4 linked regions of the Macaca fascicularis genome follow. The protein of the gene in region 2 binds, or shares a complex with, the protein of the main gene of each other region. Links are inferred from orthologs where the notes say so. Each region holds a gene or a part of one and is shown on either strand. Other genes may lie near its edges.

What was found. Proteins that work in one complex are often made in the same cells at the same time.
Region 1: PLRG1 (region 2) and BCAS2 share a complex: the UniProt entries of both Homo sapiens proteins name them as parts of the PRP19-CDC5L splicing complex. The link is inferred for Macaca fascicularis from reciprocal best matches to the Homo sapiens genes PLRG1 and BCAS2.
Region 3: PLRG1 (region 2) and BUD13 share a complex: the UniProt entries of both Homo sapiens proteins name them as parts of the minor spliceosome. The link is inferred for Macaca fascicularis from reciprocal best matches to the Homo sapiens genes PLRG1 and BUD13.
Region 4: PLRG1 (region 2) and CWC27 share a complex: the UniProt entries of both Homo sapiens proteins name them as parts of the minor spliceosome. The link is inferred for Macaca fascicularis from reciprocal best matches to the Homo sapiens genes PLRG1 and CWC27.

What each region holds. Positions count from the first base shown.
Region 1 is NC_088375.1:119,787,988-119,792,183, reverse strand, and holds the start of BCAS2 (pre-mRNA-splicing factor SPF27), read right to left. Parts: upstream 2,801-4,196; 5' UTR 2,777-2,800; coding exon 2,684-2,776; intron 2,577-2,683; coding exon 2,484-2,576; intron 1-2,483. UniProt on the Homo sapiens protein: Required for pre-mRNA splicing as component of the activated spliceosome. Component of the PRP19-CDC5L complex that forms an integral part of the spliceosome and is required for activating pre-mRNA splicing.
Region 2 is NC_088379.1:159,452,126-159,455,338, forward strand, and holds the end of PLRG1 (pleiotropic regulator 1), read right to left. Parts: intron 2,987-3,213; coding exon 2,793-2,986; intron 2,245-2,792; coding exon 2,185-2,244; 3' UTR 501-2,184; downstream 1-500. UniProt on the Homo sapiens protein: Involved in pre-mRNA splicing as component of the spliceosome. Component of the PRP19-CDC5L complex that forms an integral part of the spliceosome and is required for activating pre-mRNA splicing.
Region 3 is NC_088388.1:115,624,520-115,628,753, reverse strand, and holds the start of BUD13 (BUD13 homolog), read left to right. Parts: upstream 1-1,434; 5' UTR 1,435-1,460; coding exon 1,461-1,603; intron 1,604-2,346; exon of another isoform or gene 2,347-2,397; coding exon of another isoform or gene 2,398-2,441; intron 2,442-4,234. UniProt on the Homo sapiens protein: Involved in pre-mRNA splicing as component of the activated spliceosome. As a component of the minor spliceosome, involved in the splicing of U12-type introns in pre-mRNAs.
Region 4 is NC_088380.1:70,438,524-70,442,450, reverse strand, and holds the start of CWC27 (spliceosome-associated protein CWC27 homolog), read right to left. Parts: upstream 2,801-3,927; 5' UTR 2,586-2,800; coding exon 2,544-2,585; intron 1-2,543. UniProt on the Homo sapiens protein: As part of the spliceosome, plays a role in pre-mRNA splicing. Probable inactive PPIase with no peptidyl-prolyl cis-trans isomerase activity. As a component of the minor spliceosome, involved in the splicing of U12-type introns in pre-mRNAs.

The DNA.
Region 1 (4,196 bases), on a different chromosome or scaffold from region 2:
CCTGGCCACAATGGTGAAACCCTGTCTGTACTAAAAATACAAAAATTAGTTGGGCATGGTAGTGCATGCCTGTAATCCCAGCCACTTGGGAGGCTGGGGGAGGAGAATCGCTTGAACCCAGGAGGCAGAGGTTGCAGTGAGCCAAGGAGTTGCATGCACTCCAGCCTAGGCGACAGAGCAAGACTCTGTCTCAAAAAAAGAAAGGATTAAATAATCAGTAAACTAATTACAGGAGAATCATTTGAACCCAGGAGTTTGCTAATTAAATAATCAGTAAACTAATTACAAAGGTATTTGAGAGAAGGAAAAAAACTGGCAAAAGTATTATAAGAAGTCTGTGATTGAATGCAGTTATTTGAAAACGTCAGAAATCAGTCCAAGAAGCATTACTGTACTTAATTCTCTTTTTTTTTTTTTAATGAGATGGAGTCTCGCTCTGTCGCCCAGGCTGGAGTGCAGTGGCGCCATCTTGGCTCACTGCAAGCTCCGCCTCCCGGGTTCAGGCCATTCTTCTGCCTCAGCCTTCTGAGTAGCTGGGACTACAGGCACCCGCCACCATGCCCAGTTAATTTTTTGTATTTTTAGTAGAGGATGGTCTCGATTTCCTGACCTCGTGATCCACTCGCCTCAGCCTCCCAAGGTGCTGGGATTACAGGTGTGAGCCACTGTACTTAGTTCTTAACGTGGTTAACATCTACACCTAGGTAACAATATTTGGAAAAAGCATAGGAAAACACGTTCATAGAAACATATGTCTTCTACTTAAAACTTAGCCAAGGCAGGGCGTGGTGGTTCACCCCGTATCCCAACACTTTGGGAGGATGAGGTGGGCGGATCACTTGAGGCCAGGAGTTCAAGAAAAGCCTGGCCAACGTGGTGACACCCCATCTCTACTGAAAATACAAAAATTAGCCAGGCATGGTGGCAGGCACCTGTAATCCTAGCTGCTCGCGAGGCTGAGGCAGGAGAATCACTTGAGCTCGGAAGGTGGAGGTTGCAGTGAGCAGAAATGGCACCACTGCACTCCAGGCTGGGTGACAGAGTAAGACTCCGTCTCAAACAAAAACAACAAACTTAACTATTTTTTCACGTTACTTTAATGTAAATAATATCTTTTTTTTTTTTTCCCTCTGAGACAGGATCTCAGTCTGTCGCCAGGCTGGAGCGCAATGGTATTATCATGGCTCACTGTAGCAGCCTTGAACTTCCAGGCTCAAGTGATCCTTCCACCTCAGCCTCCTGAGTGGCTTGGGCTACAGGTGCATGCCATCATGCTTGGCTAATTTTTTAGTTTTTCTTTTGTAGAGAAAGGGTCTCACTATGCTGCACAGGCTGGTCTCAAGTGATCCTCACACCTCAGCCTCCTAAAGTGCTGGGATTACAGGTGTGAGCCACCACACCCAGCTAAATACTGCCTTTTAATAATACAATCCTTTCATAAATAAACGATTAGGTATAATGGGAAAAAAACCTCCAAGTTGTACATATTGAAATACTTGAATCCAATAATTTAGAAATAACTTACATTTCACTTAGCTAATTAGACCCTAACTAGAATCTTGGGTGTACTTCAAGGTTATACATTTAAAATAGTATCATACTCACTGTGTGCAGTAGAACAGCATCTGACTCCCTAGGCAAGCATGGGCACTCCTTTCTCTAATTCTCTTGTCCTTATATATACCTCCACTACAGGTCCTTTACATATTATTACACATTTATACATACTATTGTAAACTTTCTGTTTTATATATCTAGCTCCTCATTGTATTGTATTTTTCTGTATTCAGAAACCCTATCTTTTTTTGGAGACGATGCTTGTCTTAAATAAAGAAAAGAAAAATTAAAATACAGCAAAATACATATTTTTTTAAAACCCAGATATTTTTATCTCTATGATTTCAGAATCTAGAATGGCACCTAGCACTTGGAAAGTATTCGTATCAGGGAAAGTTCTTGCCTACATTAATCAGAACTGTGTTAATAAAAACATCGGACAGATTATAGAAAAAAGGAGAAGGCTGAGAAAAGAGTAGTATACACTTGGATATGGTTTGTCCCTTCAGTCATACCACAAACGTTTGGTAAATAACTAGACTTTAATACGCCACTCTCCAGTGGTTCTAAAGAGCTTAGGTAATTAGGCTTATACATACTAAAAAATTCTAGATCACCTGCTGTAGAGTGACTCTTGGCAGGAGAGGGTCCCTTTGAGAATTTACGCATGGATCCTATCTCAAAGAATTGTGGCCACAAATTTTTGCATTAAGTGAGTCGTGGAGTCCCAGAAAGTCTTCCTATGGATCTTAGAATAAGAACCTCGGAGAAGACTTATCTATCTAGCTGTTTTCAACAGACTGGTACCTATGCAGGCAATGGTTAAAACTGGAATTTAAAAATCACTTTTACGTAGCTGAAGCTCTCAATCCAAAATAAAGGTTCACAGGAATCCTCGTTCATACCCGGGGTCAAGACATACTTACTTCAAAGGCAGAATAATCCGGGGCTGTTAGGTAGCTCAGGTAGTTCTTAGTAGGTCGGTATCTGCGAGTTTCCTCCTCCACCAGCGCTGCAGCCTTAGAAAGAGAATTGGGGCCAGGGTAGAAGCGGCAAATTGTAACATGTTTCTTTCGGTACCGAGCCAGCGAACAGTGAGTCAGCTACAAAGACACCCCGCACTCACCGCTTCCCGCACACCAGGGGCTTCATAACCTTGATCAAAATACGGCAGCGCATCCACCACAACCTCTCCGGCCACCAAACCCGTGCCCGCCATTCCGAGGACCTCAGGTTTGCCTGCGTTTTCTGCGTTTGCGTAAACTGAGTTCTATTTAGATACGCCGGCGCCTGACACTGATGTAATCACGTTCCCGGCATATTGACGTTCGCGCATGCTCAGTTGCTAATTTTGAAGGCGGGTCCGCCCGGTATCTAGAAATTGCCGGGCTGCTTTGTTTTGGGCGGACGTGACGTCAGTCTTGGCTTCATTGCGTCAGCGGAAGGCCTCAATTTCCTGTCTTCTGCTTACTGTATTTTTTTTGCCAGCGAATGGTGGCTATTTGAAGTTAGGGCTTTTCGTTTCCTCCAAAACATTGATATCTGGAACGGGAGCCCCTTAACACTTTCGGAGGGAACTGGCTGCAGGATTTGACGGGGAGAGATAACTGATTTCCCACCTCTGCTTACTGCCACCGTCTCCCCTTAATCTTCTCTTCCTCTGTGCCGGACTTCTTTCCTTTTTTATTATGGACACACGCTCTTGTTCTGCTGCCCAGGTTGGAGTGCAGTGGCGCGATCATAGTTCACTGCAGCCTCAACCCCCCCAGGCCCAAGCGATCCTTCCACCTCAGCCTCCTGAGCCGCTGGGCCTAGAGGTGCACACCACCACGCCTGGCTAATTTTTAATTTTTTTTTTTTTTTTTCGAGACGGAGTCTCACTCTGTCGCCCAGGCTGGAGTGCAGTGGCGCGATCTCGGCTCACTGCAAGCTCCGCCTCCTGCGTTCACGCCATTCTCCTGCCTCAGCCTCCTAGTAGCTGGGACTACAAGGCGTCCGCCTCCATGCCCGGCTAATTTTTTGTATTTTTTGTATTTTCACCGTGTTAGCCAGGATGATCTCGATCTCCTGACCTCGTGATCCGCCCGCCTCGGCCTCCCAAAGTGCTGGGATTATAGGCTTGAGCCACAGCGCCCGGCCATTTTAAAATTTTTTTGTAGAGTTGGAGCCTTCCTATGTTGCCAAGGCTGGCCTCAAGCTATCCTCTCGCCTAGGCCTCCTAAAATGTGGGGAATACAGGCGTAAGCCACTGCACCCGGGGTCGTTCCTCTTTTACTTCCTTGCTGTACCCCGACTATCCTCCCCCCTCGCCACCCTGAAAACCTTTGCATTGGATAAGTACAATTCTTAAAGAGGCTCTAGAATTGGGCGCCAGTCTCCAATTAAAATTGTGAAGCTTTATGGTCTGAGTATCAAAAGGAACCTCAGTTCCTTAAAAATCCTGCCATTTTGGCTTTAGGACTTAAACGGTAATAGAATGGCACTCCTGTCTCCAAACCATTCAAGCTGCTGCCCATGCACTTTGTCTTCTTCATGGCTCCTGGACTAAGCAGCCTCCCTTTGATTAAGCAGTTAAAGACCAAATAAAGTTGTCAGACTATATACCCTGCCCAGTGTGCGGTCTAGACCCAGGCTTTGTC
Region 2 (3,213 bases):
ACTATGGAGATGTGTATTTGGTCATTGTTGATGGCTCCCTTGAGATATGTGGTTACAGACCAAGAATGAGTCCGGTCTCTGGAGCTGCCTTTCTTTGGTAACACTTTATAGCTTGACTACACTTAAGCTATATGCAATGGGCAGTGGAAGAGATTTGGGCTTAACCCTGGTGGTGGGTCTGTCAGGTAAGTAAAAGGGCACATGCATGAAATTCTGCACCTTTCATAGGGTCCATGAACACATTATGGTAGATGAACTTAATGCAACAGAAGTTTCAAGAAACACTGTAATATAGGCCAGCATGGAGCAGGGAAACAGATTTTTTTAAATGCTTTTCAGAATTTGATATGTGTACCTAACTTGAACACAATAGTTGAAGCTCTGCTAAAAAGATTGGTAGGGGCTTTCTCATCTCCTTGTACTAGTCATTTCTTCTTGGCCTTTAACAGCATCTACCTCTGATTTTTGTTGTTAGAAGGCATATCAGAATCTCTCAGGAATGCAAGTGCAGCGTTCTTTTTTCTTTATTTAAGTTTATGAAATACATGCTTATAGAAAATTAAAACATAGAAATATGTAAAGCCAGTCGTGAAAGTTCTTCCATAATTCTGCTTCCTAACAAAGCCACTGTTAGTAATGTGGTGTTATATTTTGGAGCATTAAGTTGTTCACAAAAAATGCTTGCACAACTTTTTTTAACTAAGAGTAAAGTTTGGAAATTTTGCCCTAATAATCCAGACATTCCTCACTCACTTAATGAATACTTAGAAACAAATTGCATAAAGGAACCATCTATTAAACCATCCCTTATTGACAGGACATTTGAGTTTTAAGTATTAAAGAACAAAGGTGCAATGAATTTGCTTGTGTACACTTGTCAGATTATTCCCATTAGGCAGTTCCCTAGAAATGAACTTAGTAGGCCAAAAGGTTCAAACAGTTTCAATAAACCCCAGAAAACTACATTCCTAAAGGTTGTGCCAATTATACTCCCACCTATAGCATGCAAGATGGGTAATATAATTGGAAATGCTTATTCAAAATCATAGTGCAATTTTTTAATTTGGAAAATTATAAAAACTGACTGTTCTTATAACTGTGTTTTCTCATTATAGAAGGTGAAGTCTGACAAATCTTCTTGACTAAAGGGGAATCAGGATCCCAGGGCAAGATTTATAAAACTTGTATTTATCAAAAAGAGGCATTAGAAACTTTAAAACTTCTCTTTAAAATCTCTACAAGATTGCAGCCCTTGCTACAGTTTTAAACAGCTGCACTGGTATCTCCAGTTATTTTCCCCAAGTTTCAATGGCAGTATTGGTATCTTACTAGTTGTGGAATAAAATCCAAATTTATATGAGCTTTCCTCACAACAAGCCAGCTTTACTCTCCATTATTCAACAGTAGCAGAAAATTCTTTGTCCCAGGACACACTGCACACTTTCTTCTGCCTGGTTTCATCGCTTCATGCCTTATCTCTTTTCCTTCTTTGTCCTCCTTCACCTCAAAGTCATCTCCAATGCCACTTACTCTATGAAGTCTTCCACAATCCTTCCTGAGAAAAATAAATGATCTCATCCCCACTTCTGTTCCCCCAGCATTTCACCTGCACCTCCATTACAGAATTTCTATACTAAGCTACCAAACTGGAAGTCTTAGAGGATAGACACATCTTACTTGTCTATTTCCTGAACGGTATCTAGTGCAGAACTTTGTAGAACATACACTCAAAAACCGTTTTTGGAATAAACATATATAAGTTAAGACTTTAAATCTTTTAATCTCAAATTATTAGTCACAGATATTAATTTTTAAAGGATTAAAAAAAAAAACCTACTGCTCCCTCAAATGTCCTATTATAATAATCGGTTTCATACATTTTTTTTAAAAAGGGGGTTGTTCTAATAAGACTGTCAAAATATTACATCTAGAATAGTTACAGTCAATAAACCTGCATTTACTTGATATCTGCATCTTCCTAGTATCACAAATTGTTTTAGAAATAAAAACACAAGGGTAGGGGACAGGGGACAGTTTATTGTAAAATATGAAGCAGCAATGATTGAAGCAAGTGAATTTCTCCTTTATATTCCCAGCCAGAGCACAAAATGACTGGGTATCCTCATCAACGCCAAGCTTTTTTTTTTTTTTTTAAAAAAAAAAAAAAAGAAAATTCCACATTCATTAAAATCTCTTTCTCTTGATAATTTCTGGTTTCCAGCTGACTGGATGAGTTTCTTCTGTCTAAAAGTAGAAAAGCAAGTTAAAATAAAGTATTATTAGTTTGCTTCATGTCTAACAGGCTTCCTTTCTAACAGAAATAAGGTATCTCCTCTAACATTATTCATTGGCATTATATACTTAGTAGTTCTTTGACAATTTTAGGAAGAGTTGATAAACTTCTGGCATTATCTAAGTCTAATAACAGATGGATGGATTCATTATGTTTAGTTTGCAGTTTTTAATCTAAAATAACATTTCTATTTGGATCTACTAATACCAAAGCTTATGATTCTCAAATTAATTTGCATAGCAATCTATTTATTTGCTGTTATTCTTGGTGCAACATTTCCCAGCAACTATAACAAAGAAAGCTGGGATAAAATTAAAACCATCCATGAATTCACTGGCATCAGTGAAATAATATAGAAATCTATAAATAGACACTATTCAAGAAAACAAATATCTTAAATACTATAAAGATTATTTTTCCTTCTGATAAAATTAAATGAGAACACAGTGCCCAATTGGTATAGCTGCTTTACTTAACAAATGTGAAACAGAGAACTTACGGCTGTGTCATCCTCTCTGTATACTTTAATGGTTTTATCAGCTTCAGCTGTTAGTAATCGACTTTCAGACTGATCAAAAGCACAAGCAAATATTCCTGATTCACTGTCCAAAGAGCCAGGTTGCACAGCTGCATGAACTCTCTGAAAATTGTAGCCAGTTCTCCAGTCCCAAAGATGCATGGTGCCATTGTCAGCTTAAAGGGAAAAATCTAGTTACACCTGGTATCCCTTCAGCAGTACAGCTTGACAAACATTTATTAAGCATCATTAGCCCAAGCATGGCAATACTTCGGTTATAAAAATACATAAGACACAGGCACTCAATCTTCTCCTAATATTGGCTTTTCTACTTTCATTTGTGCTGGGTTCAGAATTTATAGATCTTAAAAAGCACCTAAAATCTAACATCCAATTCCAGAAT
Region 3 (4,234 bases), on a different chromosome or scaffold from region 2:
ATGTACAACATACTGACTATAGCTAATAATTCTGTATTGTTTACTTGAAGCTTGCTAAGACAAATTTAAGTGCCCCCCACCAAACTAGTACATAAATAAGTCTAGTGAAGGATGTTTTAATTAATTTGATTTTGGTAATCATTACACAATGTATAATTATATCCAATCATCACATTGTACACCTTGAATATATATAATTTTTGTCAAATAACCTTAATAAAGCTGGGAAGAAAACGATAAAAAAGTGACAATCTAACATATGATAAGGTAAAAAGATATTTCAAGAAATTTGGATGACCTCTTGCACCCCACTTTGCTAGCCTCTACTCCCAAGAGTCATGTTCTGGCTATGTGAAGTTGAGCAACTTCTTAAATCTTGCCAAGCTTCAGTTCTTATCTGTAAAATGTGATATTGAAACGATTTGAGAATTGTGAGGGTTAAATGAGATAATTCAGGTAAAGCTCTAAAACCCCTGCCAAGAATAAAGTCTTTTCTTCCCCCCCAAAACTTGAGTATTAGAATTCATTCTCTCTGGTTTCTCTCTTTTGCTATGCTAAAAATAGATCCAGGTCCTTTTCATTGTCAAGATGTTAGTTTCCTTCAAAAGATAACTGCGAGCTACTTGTAATATAACACCAGAAGAGTTATACAGGTCTTAGAAACTACGTTTTTCATAGTAATTATGTTGGTTTGCACTTCCTGGCTTCCCTTCTCAGACGGTAGGTACCTGGAAGCCTAGTGGAGCAGATTCTCCCCACTTGAAGATACTTATAAAAATAACGAACATAGTTCCGATGACCATATGCCCACCATATGCCCAACACTGCTCTGCGCACTTCACACAGTAGTGTTATCTCAGCCTGTGACCATTCCGAGTTAGGTGCCGGGATTCTCCCCGCTTTGTGATAACTTGCCCGAGGTAGTACAGCTAGCCAGCTATGGAACCAGCGCCTGTAGTCCCAGCTACTCGGGAGGCTGAGGCAGGAGAGTGGCGAGAACCCGGGAGGCGGAGCTTGCAGTGAGCTGAGATCCGGCCACTGCACTTCAGCCTGGGCGGCAGAGCGAGACTCCGTCTCAAAAAAAAAACAAAAAACAAAAAACAAACTCGGCTACGCTGCAGCCTGTGGCCCTCCACTTTCTTGCCCGTGCTCTGCAGTTTAGGTAACCTCTGGGGGCGGGGTCTTTTGGGTCAGGTTGTGGCCTCACAGAACAGCGCTTGCTGCGGTTGGATGGATGGGTGGGTGGGTGGATGAAGAGAAGAAACCTGGTGGCGTCGTCCCAGGGCTGTGGAGCGCCCCGAAGGTGAGCGCATCCCCCGCGAGGGCACCTGCCAGCCGCGCAGTTCTCAGCACTCTCCGCCACTTCCGGCCCTGGCCCCGCCCCCTCGGGTGGCTGGCGTCCGTTACGCGTTGAGGAATTTTGTCCCCAGCGCCGACCCGTCTCTGCCCTCGCCGCTGCCATGGCGGCAGCTCCGCCGCTTTCCAAGGCCGAGTATCTGAAGCGTTACTTGTCCGGGGCAGATGCCGGCGTCGACCGGGGGTCTGAGTCCGGTCGCAAGCGTCGCAAAAAGCGGCCGAAGCCTGGCGGGGCCGGCGGCAAGGGGTGAGTTGGTACCGGCCGGGGCGGGGCCTGCAACGACTCGCCACCCCTCACCCTTCCCAACTCCGCCCTCGGTCGCCTGGCGACTCCTTCCCTCTTGGCGGGTCTCCCGGCTTCTCCGCCGACCCCTGCTCATGCCCAGGGCCCCACTCACATCGCTTGAGGCCCCGCATTGCCTCTGCCGCCCCGCTTACACCTCGAGCCTCTGAGCAGTAGCGTCAGTGCGTTAGAGCCGGGCTGTAACTTTGATTACTCTTTTCCCGCCTTGGTAGACTTCCGTCCTCTCCCATGGAGAATGAATATTGCGCCCCGAGAATAATGGAGCGGATTCAAAGCCTCTGTGCTTGAATCTTTAGGGCCCGGTACCTGCCTGTGGGGATTCCCAAATCCCAAGGACTTGGTTCTGAATCAGAGACCTTGGATCACCTCCTGTTACTCTTAGTAATAGTCCTACTAACAAGAGAAGTTAACATTTACATAATTATACTTTTCTTGCCAGGCAACATTATAAGAAATTTAAACATAAGTTTGTTTAAGCCTTACAACAGTACCATGAACTGGGTATTATTTTCAAATGGGAAAACTTTGTGGCCCAATATAGTGGGCCCTACCAAATCGTTTTCCACCCAGAACCACAGAATGTGACATTTAGAAATAGGGTCTTTGGAGATGTAATCAGTTAAGATGAAGTCATACTTGATTAAGGTGGGTGCCAAATACAAAATGACTGTTTTCCTTTTAAAAAGAGGGAAGTATGGATACAGACACAGCAACAAAGGAAAAACGACCATGTCTAGATGAAGGCTGAGATTGGATTGGATTTATGTTGCCAAAAGCCAAGGTATGCCTGGGGCTACCAGAAGCTGGGAGAGGCAAGGAAAGATCCTTCCCTACCGACTTTGCAGGGAGGATGGCCTTGCAGACACCTGGATTTCAGATTGCTAGCTTCCAGAACTGTGAGAGTTTCTGTTGTTTTATGCCACGCAATTTTGTGGTACTTTGTTACAGTAACCCTAAGGCACTAAGATACCCAGTGAAGTCACATTGTTCTAAAGAACTAGTCCATGTTGTTTTCTGGTTTGGTGCTTGCCTTATTATTGTCCTCGTCTTTCTGCTTCGCTGACTTGTGTGGATCCTTTGGAGGCAGTGCCATGTGATGAAAGTAGCTTGAGTGTTGGAGCAGCACTGGTCAGAGTTCGAATCCTAGCTGTGCCACTTTATAGGCTGTGTACCCTTGGGCAAAGTGTTTCATCTCACTGAACTGCAGTTTCCTTATCTTTAAAATGGGAATAATACTGAATAATAATGCTTTTATGAAGTGGTGGTTGTGATTAGAGGGATTGCATTAAGTGACCCTGGCTTTTTGAATAACTTCACATCATGGCAGTCATGGTTATTATTGGGGCTCAACTATAGTTTATCCATGTAACAAGCATTTATTGAATACACTGTATTCCAGTTACTGAGGATGCCTCTGTGAACAAAAAGAAACATAGTCCCTGTTCTTGTGGAGCTTATAGTTTAGTGGGAATACAGGCTTTAAGCAACTAATTACACAACTAATTGGTGTATTTTCTTTATGATAAATGCAATGAAAGTATTCCAAGAGTTTTTAACAAGAGTTCTTAGTCTTTTTTTTTTTTTTTTTTTTTTGAGACAGAGTCTCACTCTGTCCCCCAGGCTGGAGTGCAGTGGCATGATCTCAGCTCACTGCAAGCTCCAACTACAGGGTTCACGCCATTCTCCTGCCTCAGCCTCCCAAGTAGCTGGGACTACAGGCACCCGCCACCACACCTGGCTAATTTTTTGTATTTTTAGTAGAGACAGGGTTTCACCATGTTAGCCAGGTTGGTCTCGATCTCCTGACCTCATGATCCACCTGCCTCAGCCTCCAAGTGTTGGGATTACAGGCGTGAGCCACTGGGCCCGGCCGGGTCCGTGGTCTTGAGTGAGTGTGAGATAGTGGGGGAATCCGGGAAGCAGTCAAGAAAAGTTTGCCAGACTGGGTGCGATGGCTCTCGCCTGTAATCCCAGCACTTTGGGAGGCCGAGGCGGGCGGATCATGAGGTCAGGAGATCAAGACCATCCTGGCTAACACAGTGAAACCCCATCTGTACTAAAAAAATACAAAAAATTAGCCGGGCATAGTGGCAGGCGCCTGTAGTCCCAGCTACTCGGGAGGCTGAGGCAGGAGAATGGCACGATCCCGGGAGGCGGAGCTTGCAGTGAGCTGAGATTGTGCCACTGCACTCCAACCTGGGCGACAGAGCAAGACTCCGTCTCAAAAAAAAAAAAAAAAAAAGTTTGCCAAAGGAAGTTAAATTTGTGTTAGGACCTGAAAAATGAGGAAGAGTTTCCTGGAATGAGGAAGAGTTTCCTAGCACTTTGGGAGGCCAAGGCGGGTGGATTGCTTGCATATAGGAGTTTGGGACCAGTCTGGGCAACATGGTTAAACCCTGTTTCTACAAAAAATTAAAAAAAAAAAAAGTCAGGCACAGTGGCACATGCCTGTAGTCTCAGCTACTTGGGAGACTGAGTGGAGAGAATAACTTAACCCCAGGAAGTCAAAGCTGCAGGGAGCCATGATGGTGCCCCTGCACTCCAGCCTGGGCAACAGTGTGAGACCCTGTCTCA
Region 4 (3,927 bases), on a different chromosome or scaffold from region 2:
TTCTCTTAAAATTCCCAATTAATACTTTGATAATATCATGTTTCTTATAAATATATATGCAAATATACTTATAAAGCCATTTTGATTTTCAATACATTTAAAAACTAAGTGTGTACAACAATAAGACAGACCCCTATCATTTGAAAGCAACATTATGCTAAGTGAAGATGCCAGACACAATTTAGAATAAGTGATCATAATATGTGGAAATTTCATCTTCAGGGAATTACCTCTTATGCTTAAAAAATTTCTATCAAGTACTATATTTCTTTGCCTCATCTTCAGGGGCTAGGGTTACAGCAAAACACAGAACATTTATGGACAACCAGGGACCAAGCACTGGTATCATTATCAATTACTTCCCAAGCTGATACTAAGCACTTTGAAGGGAGGAATTTTGTCCCATTTACTCTGAATGTCTCTGTACCCTTTCAGTACCTAATGTACCATTAGATAGTAAAGGCAATAAACATTCATTGAACAGACTTATTACATTTGCTTCAAATTCTTTACACACCAAATTTTTGTCCACACTCTCAACCTTACAGAACTTAGAAGCTTTAATATCTTTGATGAGCCTTATGGTGGAAAAAGTCCCAAGTTGTTTTTGGATGAAAACTTGGGCCCTTGTGTTATCATTCAGCCCATTTCTGTTCAGAAGACAGTATTTATCACATTTTGTAGTTAAACATTTATTTGCATGATTATTCAGTCAATGTATACTTCACTCAATTAACTCATGATAACTCAGACAATGTGGTTTTTTTTGTTTCCGTTGTATCCCTAAAACCTAGCATAGAGCCTGGCAATTGATTTGCTCAATCATTATTTGTTGAATGAATAATCTATTCAGGAATATATCCTTGTTAAAGCTTTTCATCTATGTGACCATGTCAAATCTTCCTTTACAACAAAGCAATTAAGTCTGTCCTTGACCAGCAGCAGTGTAACCTCAAACTCACTGATGCTTAATATTCCTCAAAAAACTAAGAAAAATATAGTATTAATTCATCCATCCATTCGTTTATTCAATACATAACTGAACTCCTTCTATCATGTATCAAGTACTGTTCTAGATGCTTGTCTCTGCCCTGATGTTCCTTGCATTCTATAGGGGGAAGGTAGGAGGAAGGATACAGTAATACCAAATAATTAATAAATACCATGGAAAAAAACTAAAAAAGTTAAGGGGGCCAGAGAATGCTGGGATGCAAGGCATGATTGAAGTTTGCTATTTCATAGAAAGTAGGTAAGAAAGGACTCTTTGCTAAGGTCAACACTTGATTAAACAGAGGAACAGCAAGTGTGAACGCCCTGTCTGGCAGTATGGTAAATCTATTCAATCTCTACCAGTATTTATTAACTGGGGGTGATACTGCCCTCAAGAAACATTTGGAAATAGGAGGAGGTAGGTATTTTGGGTTTTCACATTGATATTAAATAAGATAGGTGAGGGGTGGGATGGACCCAGTAACCTACAATGCCCAGGAGAAGTTCAAAGAATTGAAAGAATTGAGCTGCCCAAAATACCCATTAAATTTTTGCTGGGAATTACAGCATTTTTGGTTTTGCTTTTAAATTGCTCTCATTATATTATCAAATGTCAATGAATAAAAGACTGCATAAATTATTTATGATGTAATCATGTAACGAACAGGATGGTATGTTGTGTAAATTTAGCTTATCTTAATTCAACTATATACTTTAAATCTCATTTTCTCCAATATGCTGATTCATCAAATTTCATATGAGATAGGCTAGGTCTCAATTTAAGAATTCAGGTGACAGTTATTCCACAACGGACTCTTCAACACAAACACCTTGGATGGGAATTGGCATACATTAGCCATCAAATCAATTAGAGAAACCTTTCCCCACTCTAATGTGGTAACAGTCCCCATTTCCCACTTTCTCTGACTGACAGTCATCTCAGGTTTTAAAATCAGCTCAAAAGATACCTTTTCCATGAGGTTTTTCCTAACTTTCCCAGTTGTTCACTACTCAGTACCGCCATAGCAACCTGGTCTCTTCTCCACAAGCACGCTTATCAGACATACAGGCTTTTGTTTACCTGTCTCACAAACTAAACTATAAGCTCTTCCGGGAAAACAACTACCTTACCCATCCATCTTTGTATCTCCGGCGCCTAGTACAGTGCCCAGTGCCTAGCAGGCGTTCAATTAATGATTGCAGAAGAAATGCAGAATGAATGACCTCAAAGTTAAGCAAAGAATATATCAAACTCAGAAATGTACGTTTAAAAACCTAAGACTCTAGAAATCGGTTGCATGAGCTGGCTTAAAGCAGAAAACAGGACCGGAATGCTGGTAGGTAGAGAAATCTCCACCTGACTTTTTCAAGTACGTCCTGAAAAGTATAAACTTCAGTGTTTCGACGCAACATTGTCCACATGCAGGAATAAAGACAACACTTATCGTGGTCTCTTCCTACCCCGAGATCCCGAAACCCGTCCCCCACCCCAAATTTGGGAAATCTCACTTTGGAGATCCCAGGACCCCAAGTTCCCTAGATGAGGCTCTCACCTTCCCATTCGTGGGAGGCTCCTGGATGTAGATGTTGCTCATCCTGGTCAGTACAAAGGACTCTGCTCCTTATGAGGGATTAGAGCGGACGGCCGGTCACTAAAGCTGTCCGCCTAGGAGTACACTCTTTCTTAAGTCGAGTGGTGCAGGAAAACTTCAGTTTGTCAATATCACGCAAGACGGGGACACCAAACACTACCCTTGCCTAAAGGAGCCCCTCACGGACGCCGCCATGTTGTTACCGGACCCGAGCACCGCTAACCCTGAGAAGGGTTATTCCAGTGTACTCCAGGGAACGAGAGAAGTCTGTAAAGTTATTATAGCTTAATGTAATTTGTATTACAATATTAGAAGGGACACTTCATAAGTCTTGGCTGTGTTTACACTACTCGCGTGTGCAGATCAAACTGACCCCCCCCAAAAAAAACTATCAGTAATGGTTCGGACCATGTGTCTTCTGCACTATGACTCGTCCGGAAACTGCATCCGCGTCTACTGGTTCTGCTGCCGCTAGAAACGTAAAGGGCCTTCCTCACCGTAGCGAAGGTGCTGCTGCGCTGGGGGAAGGAAAACGGCGCTTTGGCTGTGCCTTGTTCTCGCAGCTGGCGGGAAGCAAGCGCCACTTCGAAAGCCGGAGGCTCAAGTGACCCCTTACCATCGTCATGGCAGTCCCAGGTAAGGAGCAATTACAGGGCCTCTGCGTCCGAGATCCGAAGGGAGCACAAGGGAGGGTAGGGTAGGGTGCGGGGTGTGGGGATCAGTGCCTATGGGGACTTAGGCGGAGGCCTTAAAATTCACAGGTTTGTTTTGTTTACATGAAAAAGTTTACACTCCAAAGATACACTCTGAAGGAAAGAAAGTAACTGTCTTCCCCCAGGAGCCAAGCCCCAGCTGCATGGGATTACAGGGAAAGTGTATTGTGGAAGGGAGGGAGGAGGGGGAGACTGTAACTGTGGGCCTAAGGGGGCGAGCAGCCAAGAAAAACTACCTTAACTGTGGTATGGCTTAAAACTAAAATTTGAAGTGGGAACACTTGGCCGACCCAGGTAACCAGAGGCGTCGTCTGTCCTAGAAGTCGCTAGGACCCACCGGGTGTCCGGGTTCTACTCCTAGCTCTTCCTGTTGTATGTAGCTGCTCCGTGGCCATAGAGTGGTCGTTTTGTGCTTCTGGGCCTCAGTTTCCTTATAAAAAGAAGGAGCTTTGTTGAATTATATATAAGATTTATTCTAACTCTCAAATTCTGTGTCCAGAAGTTACTGACCTAAAAACGGTGAACTCTGCAGAATAATTACTTAAAAGATTTTCTCTCCTCAACTACCAGCTTACTTGGAAGTTCTAGTAGCTGAGAGCGTCTCCTCAAACTGGCTTTGCCACTGCAGAACA